Alligator mississippiensis: one gene and its partner. The protein of the gene in region 1 purifies or fractionates together with the protein of each later gene. This does not show direct contact. Links are inferred from orthologs where the notes say so. Each region holds a gene or a part of one and is shown on either strand. Other genes may lie near its edges.

Region 1 (6,242 bases):
TATTTCATGTATTAGGGGTTTGGCCCTGCAAGGTTATATAATGCTGGATACAAAGCATCAACGAAGTAATCACAAGTGTTTGAACCTGGCCTCTTCTAGCTGTGTACTCCTTGATCAGCATCATCTACCAGGCCCACCTAGAAGGTATCAAAACTCCTGCCTGTCTGTGTCTTTACCCGATCCAATTGGCTCAGTTCTCAGTTTATGAATATCGATGACTGTACCCATAATGGAGGCTTATTTCTCAGCTCATGGCAAAGCAACCATCTGCTCAGTAATTACCAACCCCCTGGGGCTTCTTAAGGGTTTGGGTACTTCAGTTAAACGGCCCTTCTTGGTTCCTTTGGCTATGCAGAGATGCAAGCAGACTTGAAGTTCATGCAATTCATGGTCTCCAAACTAAAATATTGTAGCCCCCTAGCCTTGTGTGCTGCAACAGCAGAAAGCATGGCTTGTTGGGACGAGGGAAAAGCTAGGGAGGGTATGGTGGATTACATCACAGGGAGAAGCACTGGTTTGGTGTTCATCTCCTGTGTGGAGGAGAAACAGGGAGGAATAAGCAGGAGTGTGAGCAAAGGACCAACACTGGGCTCAAGTGTACAAAGTGGTAGACTGGTCTTGAAATCAAGACCTAGACATTTTAGAAAGTTTTCCCCAGGGTGATCCGAAATAACTGGTTTAATTCACTAAATTGCAGTTCATGGCATACTATAACAGTTAATACTAGTGTTTAATAAATTAGTTATCCAAGTGTTAATCAAGTCTTGATAATGATTTCTATTTCCAAAACATTAAAGTTGCTTTTAAACACACAACCAACACCAAATTAAACAAGTCACCATCTTAATAAAAAAAGAGCACATTAAATCTACTGAACAACATACAATTCACATTTAGGATGCCAAAATAGTACATTCAGATTGTTAGCAATGCTGTAAGTTATACATTTAAGACCATATTGTTTATCTATCATTGGTTGATACAATAAAAACACACTGACCTACTGTAAAAACTGCAGTTAACTAAGTTTGGAACATGTGTTTCTAGGTACACAAGCTATGAAGAGAGAGTTTGAGTACCTAGGAAACATGTATACAACTTGCAACTTAATCCAGTTTTTACAGTAGGACAAGTTCTGTTAGATCAACCAATGATGATACAACCTTTCTGTAAAAAAGGAAGGAAACAAAAATACAATGGGAAACTTGATAAAATTATTTAAATTTGGGCTACTGATTTATAGCAATTTAAAGGGACTCAATTTAAGTCAATTTACCCCTTTTAAGAATATTAACTGCCTTTCCCAGTCTCTCCAACAGTATCCTTACCTCAGCTGTCAGGTACTCCAAGATAGCAGCACTGTACACAGCAGCAGTAGCTCCTACACGTCCATGGCTAGTGGTCCTGGACTTCAGATGACGGTGAATGCGGCCAACCGGGAACTGCAAGACATCAAGAGCAGGAAGAACATAGTGTAAACACCATAAAAGGTTTGGCAAATGAAAGACTGAAACCCTGCCAACAGCTACCATAAAATAAATCACAGGAAGGCCTGTTTGTTATTTGATGTAACAAAAGCTGATCAGATTTAAAGCATAGTGATTTTGAATACACTTCTTGCATGATTCCTTATCCTATAAAACAGCAATTCTCAGCTTTTTTAGCCTCAAAACAGCCCTTTTTATTTTTTCCAGAGTTTAGGAGCATCCTGGCTGAGAACTATTGAGTTAGAAGCCAACTTACACCAGGTAAGAGTGTCAAGGCAAGACCTCACCCCACTGTACCCTTTTGCCAGCATCTGCCCCCTCCCAGCCATTGATCTGTGCATGAAGGGGTAAGCACTAGGCTTCCAATGCCAGCAACTGAAGCCAGATGCACTTGCAGCCTCTCACCACGCCAGGCACATTGGGGGGGGGGGGGGGAAGGAGGGGGCAGAAAGAGAGAAACAGACAGGGGATAACTCAGGATTTAAATTGTAGTCCTCTACCTATATCTGGCCACCTGCTCATGCACTTCACATGCACACACATTGGAGCAACTGTTAGGAGCAGGGTGGCCAGTGCAAGAGCTGCCAGGCATGGGGACTAGCTACAAGTACTGCTGGACAGATTTTAGAGGTGCCCAACCCCAGCAAGGAGAAAGAGCAATTGCTCATCTTTTGGCACAGGACACATGGGTGCCACAGCCCCTTTGGAAGCATCTCATAGCACTCTGGTTGAAGACCCCTGCCATATAGTAGCAGCAGCAGCATTATGGTTCAAGCTGTTCATTCCCAGTCCAAGCTGTTACTCCTTAACTGCACTGAAACAAACAAAAAAAAACCTCTTCAAGTAATGCAAAACCTAGGCGCTGAAAATAGCACCCTCCAAAGACTAGCCTTTTAAAAATCATGACAATCAGTGGACTTCAACTGCAGCTGTTCTAACATGGAAGCCTGCTGCTCCTGAAGCAGACTGCCCCATAGCAGACAAGCAGCAAACAGAGAAAAACTCCCAAACAAAAAGGCAAAAGGCTTAAAGGACAAATAAATGGGATGAAGCCCTGCAGACTCACCTGCAGCCCAGCTCTCTGCGAGCGAGACACTGCTTTGGTCTTGGTCTTCCCAGAGTCCTTCCCAGCTTTACCACCAGCCTACAAAACAGGGAGGAAGGCGGTAGTCAGAAGCGAACTCCTACCCACTGGAGCCAGCTTCTTCCTCCTATAAGCTCACCTGGAAGCAAGTCAGTCACTCGGGTCTCAGGCAAGAACCGCCCAACAGCCCCGCGCATGCGCTCCCCGCCCAGCAGCCCGAGCCAAGGCGCCGCGCATGCGCTCTTCCCCCACGCCCAGCAGTCCGAGTCCCTTGCTAGGCGCAGGCGCTGAGCGCTCCCGCCGGCCCGCCGCGCATGCGCACCCCCTCCCCCACAGCCCAGCGGCCGGCGAGACGCGAGGGCGCCCCAACGCGTGCCAGCTTTCCAACCATTGCGCCCAGTCTCCCCATGCAGCCGCCACCACCTCCTCCCCGCCGCTGCAGCGCGGTTGAGCAACCCCCACCCCCAACCGTCCCCCGCCTCCGTGGCCTCCTACCATCGTAAGCGGCGCTGCAGCACCGCGCGGGAGAGGGAGGAAGCAGCGAGCGGCTCTCACACACAACAAGACCCCAGCAGCACCGCACACCTGTACCCGCCGCGATTCAAACTGCGCCGGCTCCCGCCTTCCCCCGGTGCTTTATAACCGCCGAACGTGCCCACATCCGGGCACCCGGATCCCACCGCCAGCCAATCGCCGCCGAGGGGGGCGTGGCGACTCTGCGGCCCAGGAGCCAATCGGAGCCCAGCCGCCGGGCGGGGAGGAGAGGGGTGGGGTGGGGCGGGAGGCTCGTGCGCCCGGGCCTCAATGGAAGGCACGCCCACACTTAAAGTGACAGGCGCGGCCCTGCGGAGCCGTCGGCTGCCTGGCGAACCCCGCGGGGCGAAGGGGGGGGGCGGTGTAGGCCCAGTGACCCGGCGCGTCGCGGCGCGAGGGCCCGCGTGCGCGCCCTGCTCCACCCCTCTGCTGGCTCCCGCGCGCCCGGCTCCGCCCGCCATTTTGTCTGGCGCTGGCGGCGCTGCCCGCGGGCACCTACAGCCTCCGAGGCCCCGCGCCCAGGCTCAGGCACAGCTACGGGCCTTTTTGCGACCCGGACACCTGCCTCTGCCCTGCCCCACCCCGTCCCACACATGGGACTTGCAAGTGCCTCCCCTCCACCCCCGGGCGGGGCTTAGGGCAGCTGCTGGGTAAGGAATTGCGGGGGTGAATCCCCCGGGGGAGATGCAGACACGTTGTCTTTTTCTGCAAGCTTTCGGACACACACGCCCTTCCTCAGGCGCAGGGAAAATTAAAGACACCCCAGGGAGAGGCACCAGAGCCTGCCCTAGGTCACTGGAGGAGTTGCAGCCCAACACCTGTACCTGGCCACCCCAACTTGTGTCCCTGCAAAGAAGGGGTCTTTGGAGGATGCAGATCTCCCGCCCCGGGTGCAGCAGGTGGGACGGGCAGACAGGTGGTGTTGCCCTCCTTGGCACGGTGACTCTCAGCCAGGGGTCGTGCAGTAGCAGCACTGCGCGTTTCATTAAAGCGACCCGGAGATTTCAAATAGGCACCCGTAGTGTCAAAAACACCCTGGCCTGCTGCAAAGGAAGGGTATTGGTAGCTATTGAGTGAGGGAGTTAGGGGTCCAGCCTTTGAATCAGAACTGCCTAGACCAGGGATCAGCAATGTTTTTGGTCACAGTGGCAAAAACACCCGCAACCTTGGCTTGAAAGGTGTTGGCGTCCCCAGGGCAGAAGGTGGGGGAGCTGCAAGGGGCCTGATCCTTGTTGTGGCGGTACCGGCAGGCCTGGCCCCTTCCCAGAGGTGTGACTGCCAAGCAAAATGACTGCTCTGATTGCCTACCCTTGGTCTAGACCTTAAATGCTGGAGGCTGCAAGGTAGGGAATCCCTGCTCATACTCAGTTTGCTCTCCCTTTTAGCATATACTTTCTGCCCCTCTGTGACGTGGGGAGGTGTGGGGGTTGTGTTATGAATGTTTCCAAGTCTAGGCCTGAATCTGCACAGGTTTCACATGCCCTTGGGTTTGTGGCTCTCCGTTTTCTTAGGCAGCAGAACCACCTAGATGTTGGGTGGGACCCTGCCTTGAGCAGTGTGACCTCCCCCCAGGAGCTTGTCGTTGTGGATCGCCAGCTAGAGGTGGTGCAAATGATGCGAGTTTTCTTGTCCCGTGCAGCATTCCCAGCCAATTCCAGGGTTTCAGTCATCAGGCTTTCCATCACTGAAGCATAATTGCCCTTGTAAAGCATACAGTGCACACGGCCTACAGGGAACTGCAGCCCTGCCTGGGAAGACCTAGGCTTGCAGACTATGCCTCCCTGCTTTCCACAGCCAGACATGATTTCACTCTTATGTGATGCTACCCCTCTGCAGAAACCTGGCAAGACAGACCTATGGTCTGACCCAGCAAATGGCAGTTCTTATGTTCTTATGGTCTTTCTGTGTTCCTTGCAGTAAAAGAATTGCTCTAGTCATGGGCGTTGCGGTGCACCCCCTGGAAAAAGGCACCACTTACACTCAGCGGCGCCTATGGGCAATCGCCGCTTGCCACCCCACTGCTGCCACCACCAGTGGCATCTGTGGGCAGTCCGCGATTCCTGCTGACTGCTGCTGCCGATGTTGACAGCAGCTGCAGGTGGTCGCCAACCCTTGGTCCGTGTTCGCCATCCTCCCCTGCTGCCAACAGTGCTGGTGGAGTCTTCAGGAGCTCTCCCACTTACTGCCACAGGCTCTTGCTGCTCTTGCCACCACACTCCTGCCACCGCCGTGCCCCCACAGCTACCGGGGGCACATGCCATTCATGGCTCTAGTACTTTTTGTTTTTCAGTCAAACAAGTGAAAGCCAAGAGCTAGCATTTCCCAAGGGTTGTGCTGAGTCTAAGAAGGTTGAAAGGTTGGACTCCACAATTCAGGAAGGACATGGAGAAGCTTGAGAGAGTCCAGAGGAGAGCCACGTGCATGATCAGAGGCCAAGAGAACAGGCCTTATGAAGGGAGGCTGAGAGCCATGGGACTCTTCATCCTGGAGAAGCACAGGCTCAGGGGTGACTTGGTGGCAGCCTATAAGTACATTAGGGGTATGCATCAGGATCTGGGAGAATGCCTGTTCAGCAAAGCGCCCCAAGGGATGACAAGGTCCAATGGTCACAAACTCCTACAAGACCATTTTAGGCTGGACATAAGGACAAAGTTCTTTACTGTATGAGCCCCCCAGGCCTGGAATAGACTCCCCCCAGACGTGGTGCAAGCACCTATTCTGAACACTTTTAAGAAACATTTGGATGCTTATCTTGCTGGGATCCTTTGACCCTAGCTGACTTCCTGCCCCTTGGGCAGGGGGCTGGGCCTGATGACCTTACGAGGTCTCTTCCAGCCCTAATGCCTATGAAATCTATGAAACCTGCTAATGATGTGGTTCTCAAACTTTCCTTGTGCTCTGTAGAGGAGGTATAGGGAACTTAACACCAGATCCTAGAGCAGAATACAGAACCAAGAGCCTAAATCCTTTACTAGATCTAGCCCTAGGTCTAGGTGCTTCTTCATATTTTTAGACACTTGAAAAACTACTAGAAATTTAACCAAGGTTGTGAAGCAGCTATACTTTCCATCCTCATGAAGAATTTCTGCTGGTAGCAAGTTTTGTTAAGCAGCAGAACATGAAAATGAAATATTTGA
Region 2 (6,242 bases), on another chromosome or scaffold:
TCACAGCAGTTCTCCCCTTTCTTGATGCTAATTGTGCTTGTCAACCTTTTCTGGGGAAATTTGATGAGAAAAAAGTATTTCAACCCTTTCTTCATCTGTCTAAGGATAGACTCCAGCAAACTCCTTTGCTCCTTGCCGTAGCTTCCCCAAAGAAACAGCATTGCTAAATTAGCATCAGTGCATTTCTTTGAAGAACGAACCATTTGCTTTAAGTCTGAGCTCTAGTGACGTTGATGATTCCCACCGTAACACTTGGGAAAAGGCCCATTATATTTCCAGTCAAAATCGTTTGCAGCTCTTCTACGTCTACGAAATCTCTCTCTGCCACAAGACCAAAAGATCTCACAGACAAAGCAAGAAGCTTAACACCCTGCCAGATGCTTTTGCAAACACAAGCAAGGGCTAGGCTTCTTTATTATACCCCAACCCTGTTTTCAGTGTTTCAGGGCACTGCCATCTGATAACGCAAAGCTACATATAACCTAGGAGAAAGGGCAGGACGGTGCCTTTCTCTAAACCAGTGGTTTCAATCTTCACTCGCAGCACCCCTCATTAGACCCGAGGCCCCCCCATAGAAGATGCCAGCTCTTTGTTTTCACTCATTTTTTGACTGAAGTAAAACCATGAAAAGTAATTCTTCTGTTGCAAAGAGCTCAGAAAGATCAATCAGCACGGACAAGGCAGAGCCGTTCTTAATGTTAGATCCCCATTTGAAATCTCTAGTTTTTTCTTGTGAATCTGGTTTGCTGTGGCCCCCCGATTGAGAATCGAGCTCTAGACCCTTTTCTCAGACCGTGGCAAAACCTGCCGCCACCTCTGAACTATCACCAAGAGGTTTTTTTCTTTGTTTTTTTCTTGACACCCACATTGTTAACTGCTGTCTAGGTCTTCATGGCCCAGTACCTACTGCAGCCTAATCTCTGGTCTTCTTGACAGGTCAAATCTCTGCTGCTCAGTGAACCCCGACCACACTATTCTCTTTCCTTAGAAGCTTCACCGCTACACCCGTCACGAGCTTGCAGTCCTTGTCTTCACGGCATTTATTGTTTCGGTTCTCTCATCGTACCAGTCCCTCGCACTAATCAAGGATGCCAGCCTGCATTGCCCGTTCCCCCTGAACCCGAGAGATGGTGAGGCCACAAATTTGGCAGCCTTTCTGAGCACTTTTGCTGCCCTTGCACGCCCCAACAACTGGGTATTTCCACAGCAGTGAACTAAACCCACGGTTCTCAATTTTTCTAGACGTCAGGCGCCCCTTAGAAACTACTGATTTCACCCGAGTGGTTTTTTTTGTCAAATGACAAATCATTTTTGCCTTGTCGCAAAGCGCTGAGAAAGCCCCCAACACCGCAACGATTTGAACTCTGTTGATTCCTGTATGAAAGCCCCTATGTTTCTCTTCTGGTGAATCACGCGTGCACGCCTAACAAGGCTAAACACTACCCGGCACGCCGCAGCACCCTCAAAAGCGACACCCCAGGATGCCGCGTGCCCTAATCAAAGCAAAAGGGCTTCGTTTGGGAATTGGGACCGGAAGCCAGCAGGTCCCAACACCACCCCTCCTCTTTCAAGCCCTTTGCACAAGTATCTGCCAGTTCCTTGCAGCAGTTTAACTAAATACACGTGTTATCTTTAGCCCGTCATGCTGCTAATCTCTGCCTTCGCACCTAACATCTACACAGGTCCCTTTTTTTGTTTTTAGTGCCCGTAACACTTCATTAATCTGCTTCTAGACACCCAGGCCTAACCCCCACAGACCAAACCACCAGAACCGCGTGGCGCATAATGGCGCCCAACCGCCGCCAACGGTCGCATTTAAAAGCTCGGAGCCTCGACGGGCGTCCGGCGGAGCCAATCGGCCGCCGCCGCGCGCCGCGCCGCTCCTCCAATGGAAAGCGGCGCATCGAGAGGAAGCGCTCGCCCCTTCCTTGGCCCCGCCCCGCCGGCCGCGGGGGGCGTGTCCTGGGCGAGGGGGCGCCGTGCGCCATGTCATGGAGGCTCAGTGCGCGCCCGGCTACTGAGCAGCGCGGAGCTCCGGCCGGCGGCGGCGGCGGGGGACGGCGGCGCGGGGGGCGGCGGCCCAGCTCTCCCTGCCCGCGCGGGCTCGGCCATGGAGATGATGAAGCGCGTGGTGCTGGAGCTGAGGAACCGCGCGCCCGAGAAGGTGAGCACGGGGCCGCCATGTCGCGGCGGTGCCCGGCGCTGCGCGTGCCCCGACCCGGCATGGAGGAGCCCCGGGCCCCAAAACACCCCTCCTCGGCGTGCTCCTTACTACGCATTTGTGCCTTATGGTGCATTCTCCTAATTATTCACCTCCCGGCCGTGTGTTATTATTATCATCATTATTATTATTATTATTATTGCAACGATAAGATTTTTTTTGGACTGGCCAAAGGCTTTTTCTGCCCGCTGCGCTGCTTTTCGAAAAGTGAAGGAGGGCTGGGAGCCCCTCCGCTGGGCACGGGCTCGCTGCGATCGCTGCTGCGGGCATCTGCTCTCCTTATTCGGCTGATTTTGGGGAAATTAGGAACTTGCTTTTCTTTTCCGCCTCCCCCTTTTTCCTTCGGTGAACTCCGAATCTGGGTCAGCCACCGCGATGCGCCCGCCATAAGTTTCTCGGTTGTGTTTGGGGGTGAGTTTTGGGGGGGAGGTGTTAAAGGATCCTTTTTAAAAATAAATGAATAAATCGACAGCTGCTTTTCTTTGGGGTGGGGAGAAGCCCGAAGTCGCGTGCCCCCCGCTCGCCCATCCCTCCCGCGCTGGCATTGCTGGCAGGATGGGTCTTCATTTATTTTTAACTTCTCGCTGGTGGAGGTTGTAAACAGGTCGTAGTGGCACCGAATCCATCTTAAAAAAAAAAAAAAAAAAAGATCACACCATCTGGGTAGATCCGACTTTGCTTTCCTCCAGCCGGCGATCGGAGAGGATCAGAAACCCTCTTTTCGTCAAAATTGGCCTGTGTCTCGGCTGACGTTTGGGGCTGTTTATTCAGGATTGGATCTATTATTACTTATCGTTATTATGATGATGGTGATGATGATTCTCTTCTTTCTCCTTCCCACCTCCACCCTCCCCGAGTTTTTTCAGCTCTGCCCAGAGAGCACATGATGGGGTAATGGCACCCTCCTCTCCTTCCCTTGCAGCCACACGGCTTATAACCGGCCTTCCTAATGGCTAAAGGCAGATAAGGCGATTGCTGCTGGGTCCTGCTCAGTCATCGGAGACAAGATAGGCTCCTGGCCGGTCCCTCCACCCACCGAGAGCAGTCAGGTTCGCGGTTGGGAGGTCATGAACAACGCAGGAGGGCTCTTCTCCCTGCCCGCCATGCAGCTACAGTCAGGTAGCTCCTTCCCTCCGCGAACTCGGCGCTGGGAGTGGTGCTCCAGTGTTGCAGAAAATGCCATCCCCTGCCGCTCCGGCGTGACTTCAAAACAAAAGTCCCGTGCAAGCCAGTGATGGCAAAACTTTATGGGGGGGGTTCTTTTTTTTTCTTTTTTTTTTTTTTTTTTCAATCCTCTTCCTTTGACGTCAAGTCCAGAAACGCAGCGCGAGGGGGCCAACGGCATCTTGAAAGTATTTCTCTTAACTTTTTAATCCCGAGCCATTTTGGTTCTGGCCAGCCTCAAGGCACTCGTGCTTACAAAAACAAATCGAGATGCGCAGAATTGAGATGTGATGTCTGAAGAGGCTTCGTCTATTGTTAAACGTACTTTTTTTCCACCCCCACCCTCCCCGAGGTGGCTGTAGGCAGGTGGTTATCTGATGCATGTTTTTTTCCCCTGCTGCGCAGGGAAAGATTGTGGCTGCGCTTTGCTTTTTAGGAGAGGGTCGTGGTTTTAGTTAATCTCCTGTAGTAATTTCATTGACTGCAGTGCCAGCTGCATGGAGAGCAGGCTGATCAACTTGCAGCCTCCGCTTCCCTGCTGTTAAACTCGGCCAACAAATGATTTGTCGCTCCAGCAGATGTTTTTGCATTTAGGTCAGTAAGGACGCTATCGACTGGCGTGTCTTGCTCTCCCCAAGAATAAAGTCCAGATAGGTTGATATTGCAAAGTGCTTTTACTCCACCCCAGCCTGGGTGACTGATTGCACAAAGATTCCCTGCATAAAAACTACTACTCAGATAAACAGTATATTTTTTAACAAGTTGACTGTGTTGGATTATTTTTTTAAAGCCTTTAAACTGTGGCTGGAGTTACCCCCCCCCCCCCAAATGGTTTTAGTCTTTCCCTTTTCTTCAGGGCAAAACCTGAACAACTTTGGGACTTGGAAACCACAAAACAATTCAAAGCTAGTCTCTCTGGTCAACTTTTTCTGCAGCAACATGAAATAAGATTGTAAACTTGAAACAAATGAGCAGCTCATGCCCACCAAAATAACTCAGAAGTCGCCAGTGAACAAGTGACTTTTTTAGTCATCTCTACAGATGACTCTTTCAGAGCTGAACTTCCCAGACTGGTGTTGCATTTAATCCTTTTCATTTGCAGCCGGATTGGTAAAATAGCAACTGTGGTCAGCCCACTTGTGGGGACATGGAGGACAGACAAGCAGAAAATGGATTTTTCCCTGCAAGATGTTCAGCGACACAGAGTAAATGCATCTAGAATGAAGAAGCAAATGCTTCAGTCTGGTGCATTATTAACCTATGATACTCCCTGCCTCAGTATTTTGAGGGTCAAAGCTATAGGGTTTACAAGAGGATTTGGTGCTTTTTTTCTGGCAAGTGAGGCTATACCCCCTTATTTTAAATAGTGAATGGGAATATAAACCCTCATCTGGGCATGAAGCAACCATTAAGTGATGGCTATGGAAGGAAACTATATGGGTAGGTCATTCTGTAATTGCCTAGTTGGCTTTTGGCTCCTTGCTTCTTCTGATGCATCTGTTCCTGGCTTTCATCAGAACCAGGACCATGGGTTTTTGTCCGGCCCTGTAAAGGACTGCGATTGTGAACTCTGTCTTGGTGGTTGTGCTTTCTGAAGCCAGCATGTTAACAAATAAATTAAGTTTTTTATCTTCTGGTTCTCTGTGATGGTGCTTCATACTCTGTTTACTTCCTCTCAAGGTTGATATGGTCGATGAGTTCAGACAACTCAAGTTCAGGTCTTCCCAGATGAGAAGCAAAGCCTGTCGTCAGGCTGCTGGTTTGACCCGAATTGCTTGCTTGGTTGAGGGTCCCTATTAAAGTAATAAGTGACATTCTGTTTTGTTTCAAGGTGACAGAGTTAGTGCTTGACAACTGCCGATCCAGCAATGGCGAAATTGAAGGTCTGAATGACTCCTTTAAAGAGCTGGAGTTTCTCAGCATGGCCAACGTAGAGCTGACATCCCTGGCCAAGCTCCCCACCTTGAGTAAGCTCCGAAAGGTATGCATCTTCAGACAAAAACCCATCCGTTCTCTCCTGCCAAAGTTGTATACCTTGAAACACACCAACAGTTAAACTACTTGCAAACGTGACTGTGACTATGGAAATACGCATCTCATTGAAATGTTTTACTAAACATTGCTAACTTAAGAATTAAGTCTTTAAGACCCTGAATGTAATTAATGCTGGTTTCAAACATTAATGAGCCAAAGTACTGAAAAAGTATCACTTGAAAACTGTGTTAACGATGGCCATCCCATTCTGTTGTAAAGAGAGGGGGTCGGGAGCAATCACATTAGGTGAAGTGCTGGGAACACTGAAGTCATTGTTCGTTACCTGTAAGGAACCAGTTTCAACCTAGTCTGTTGACCTAAAGCCTGTACAAAGATCCAATGCTATGTTTCACATCCCCGTGTAAAAAATAAAGCCTGGAAATATTTTAAGTTTGCACCATACTAAGTATGCTAACTGAGCAGTTGGAATCGGTGAGATCACTTGCCGACTTACAGTAGAACATGCTTAAGTGTCTGTAGGCACCCAAGTATGAAACTAGTTAATGAATTATCACTATCAAGTGCAGGTGTGAAGAGCTTCTGAAATAAATGTTAGGCTCTGAAGAGACGTACATGTGATCAACATGGGTTGCTATATTTTTAACCAGACTTCATTTTATGCAAGTAATCTGAGGTTTTACGGGCTCTACAGGAAGTCAATAGTCTTGTGATGCATTTGTTCTTTCAATAAAATACAGGCTCTTGATTTTGATAGCAATCAAACCAACCATCTAATTATCCAACTTTTGTGCGCTGTAGCTGGAATTGAGCGACAACGTCATTTCGGGAGGCCTAGAGGTCCTGGCAGAAAGATGTCCAAATC

The links.
Region 2: the proteins of histone H2A.Z (region 1) and ANP32E purify together in Homo sapiens (affinity purification with mass spectrometry; 4 studies listed by BioGRID and IntAct, with this or other methods). This does not show direct contact. The link is inferred for Alligator mississippiensis from reciprocal best matches to the Homo sapiens genes H2AZ1 and ANP32E.

What each region holds. Positions count from the first base shown.
Region 1 is NC_081825.1:161,263,450-161,269,691, forward strand, and holds the start of histone H2A.Z, read right to left. Parts: upstream 3,199-6,242; 5' UTR 3,070-3,198; coding exon 3,067-3,069; intron 2,632-3,066; coding exon 2,554-2,631; intron 1,443-2,553; coding exon 1,329-1,442; intron 1-1,328. UniProt on the Homo sapiens protein: Variant histone H2A which replaces conventional H2A in a subset of nucleosomes. Nucleosomes wrap and compact DNA into chromatin, limiting DNA accessibility to the cellular machineries which require DNA as a template.
Region 2 is NC_081838.1:18,367,986-18,374,227, reverse strand, and holds the start of ANP32E (acidic leucine-rich nuclear phosphoprotein 32 family member E), read left to right. Parts: upstream 1-2,009; 5' UTR 2,010-2,110; coding exon 2,111-2,164; intron 2,165-2,325; exon of another isoform or gene 2,326-2,847; intron 2,848-3,257; exon of another isoform or gene 3,258-3,838; intron 3,839-5,216; coding exon 5,217-5,366; intron 5,367-6,178; coding exon 6,179-6,242. UniProt on the Homo sapiens protein: Histone chaperone that specifically mediates the genome-wide removal of histone H2A.Z/H2AZ1 from the nucleosome: removes H2A.Z/H2AZ1 from its normal sites of deposition, especially from enhancer and insulator regions.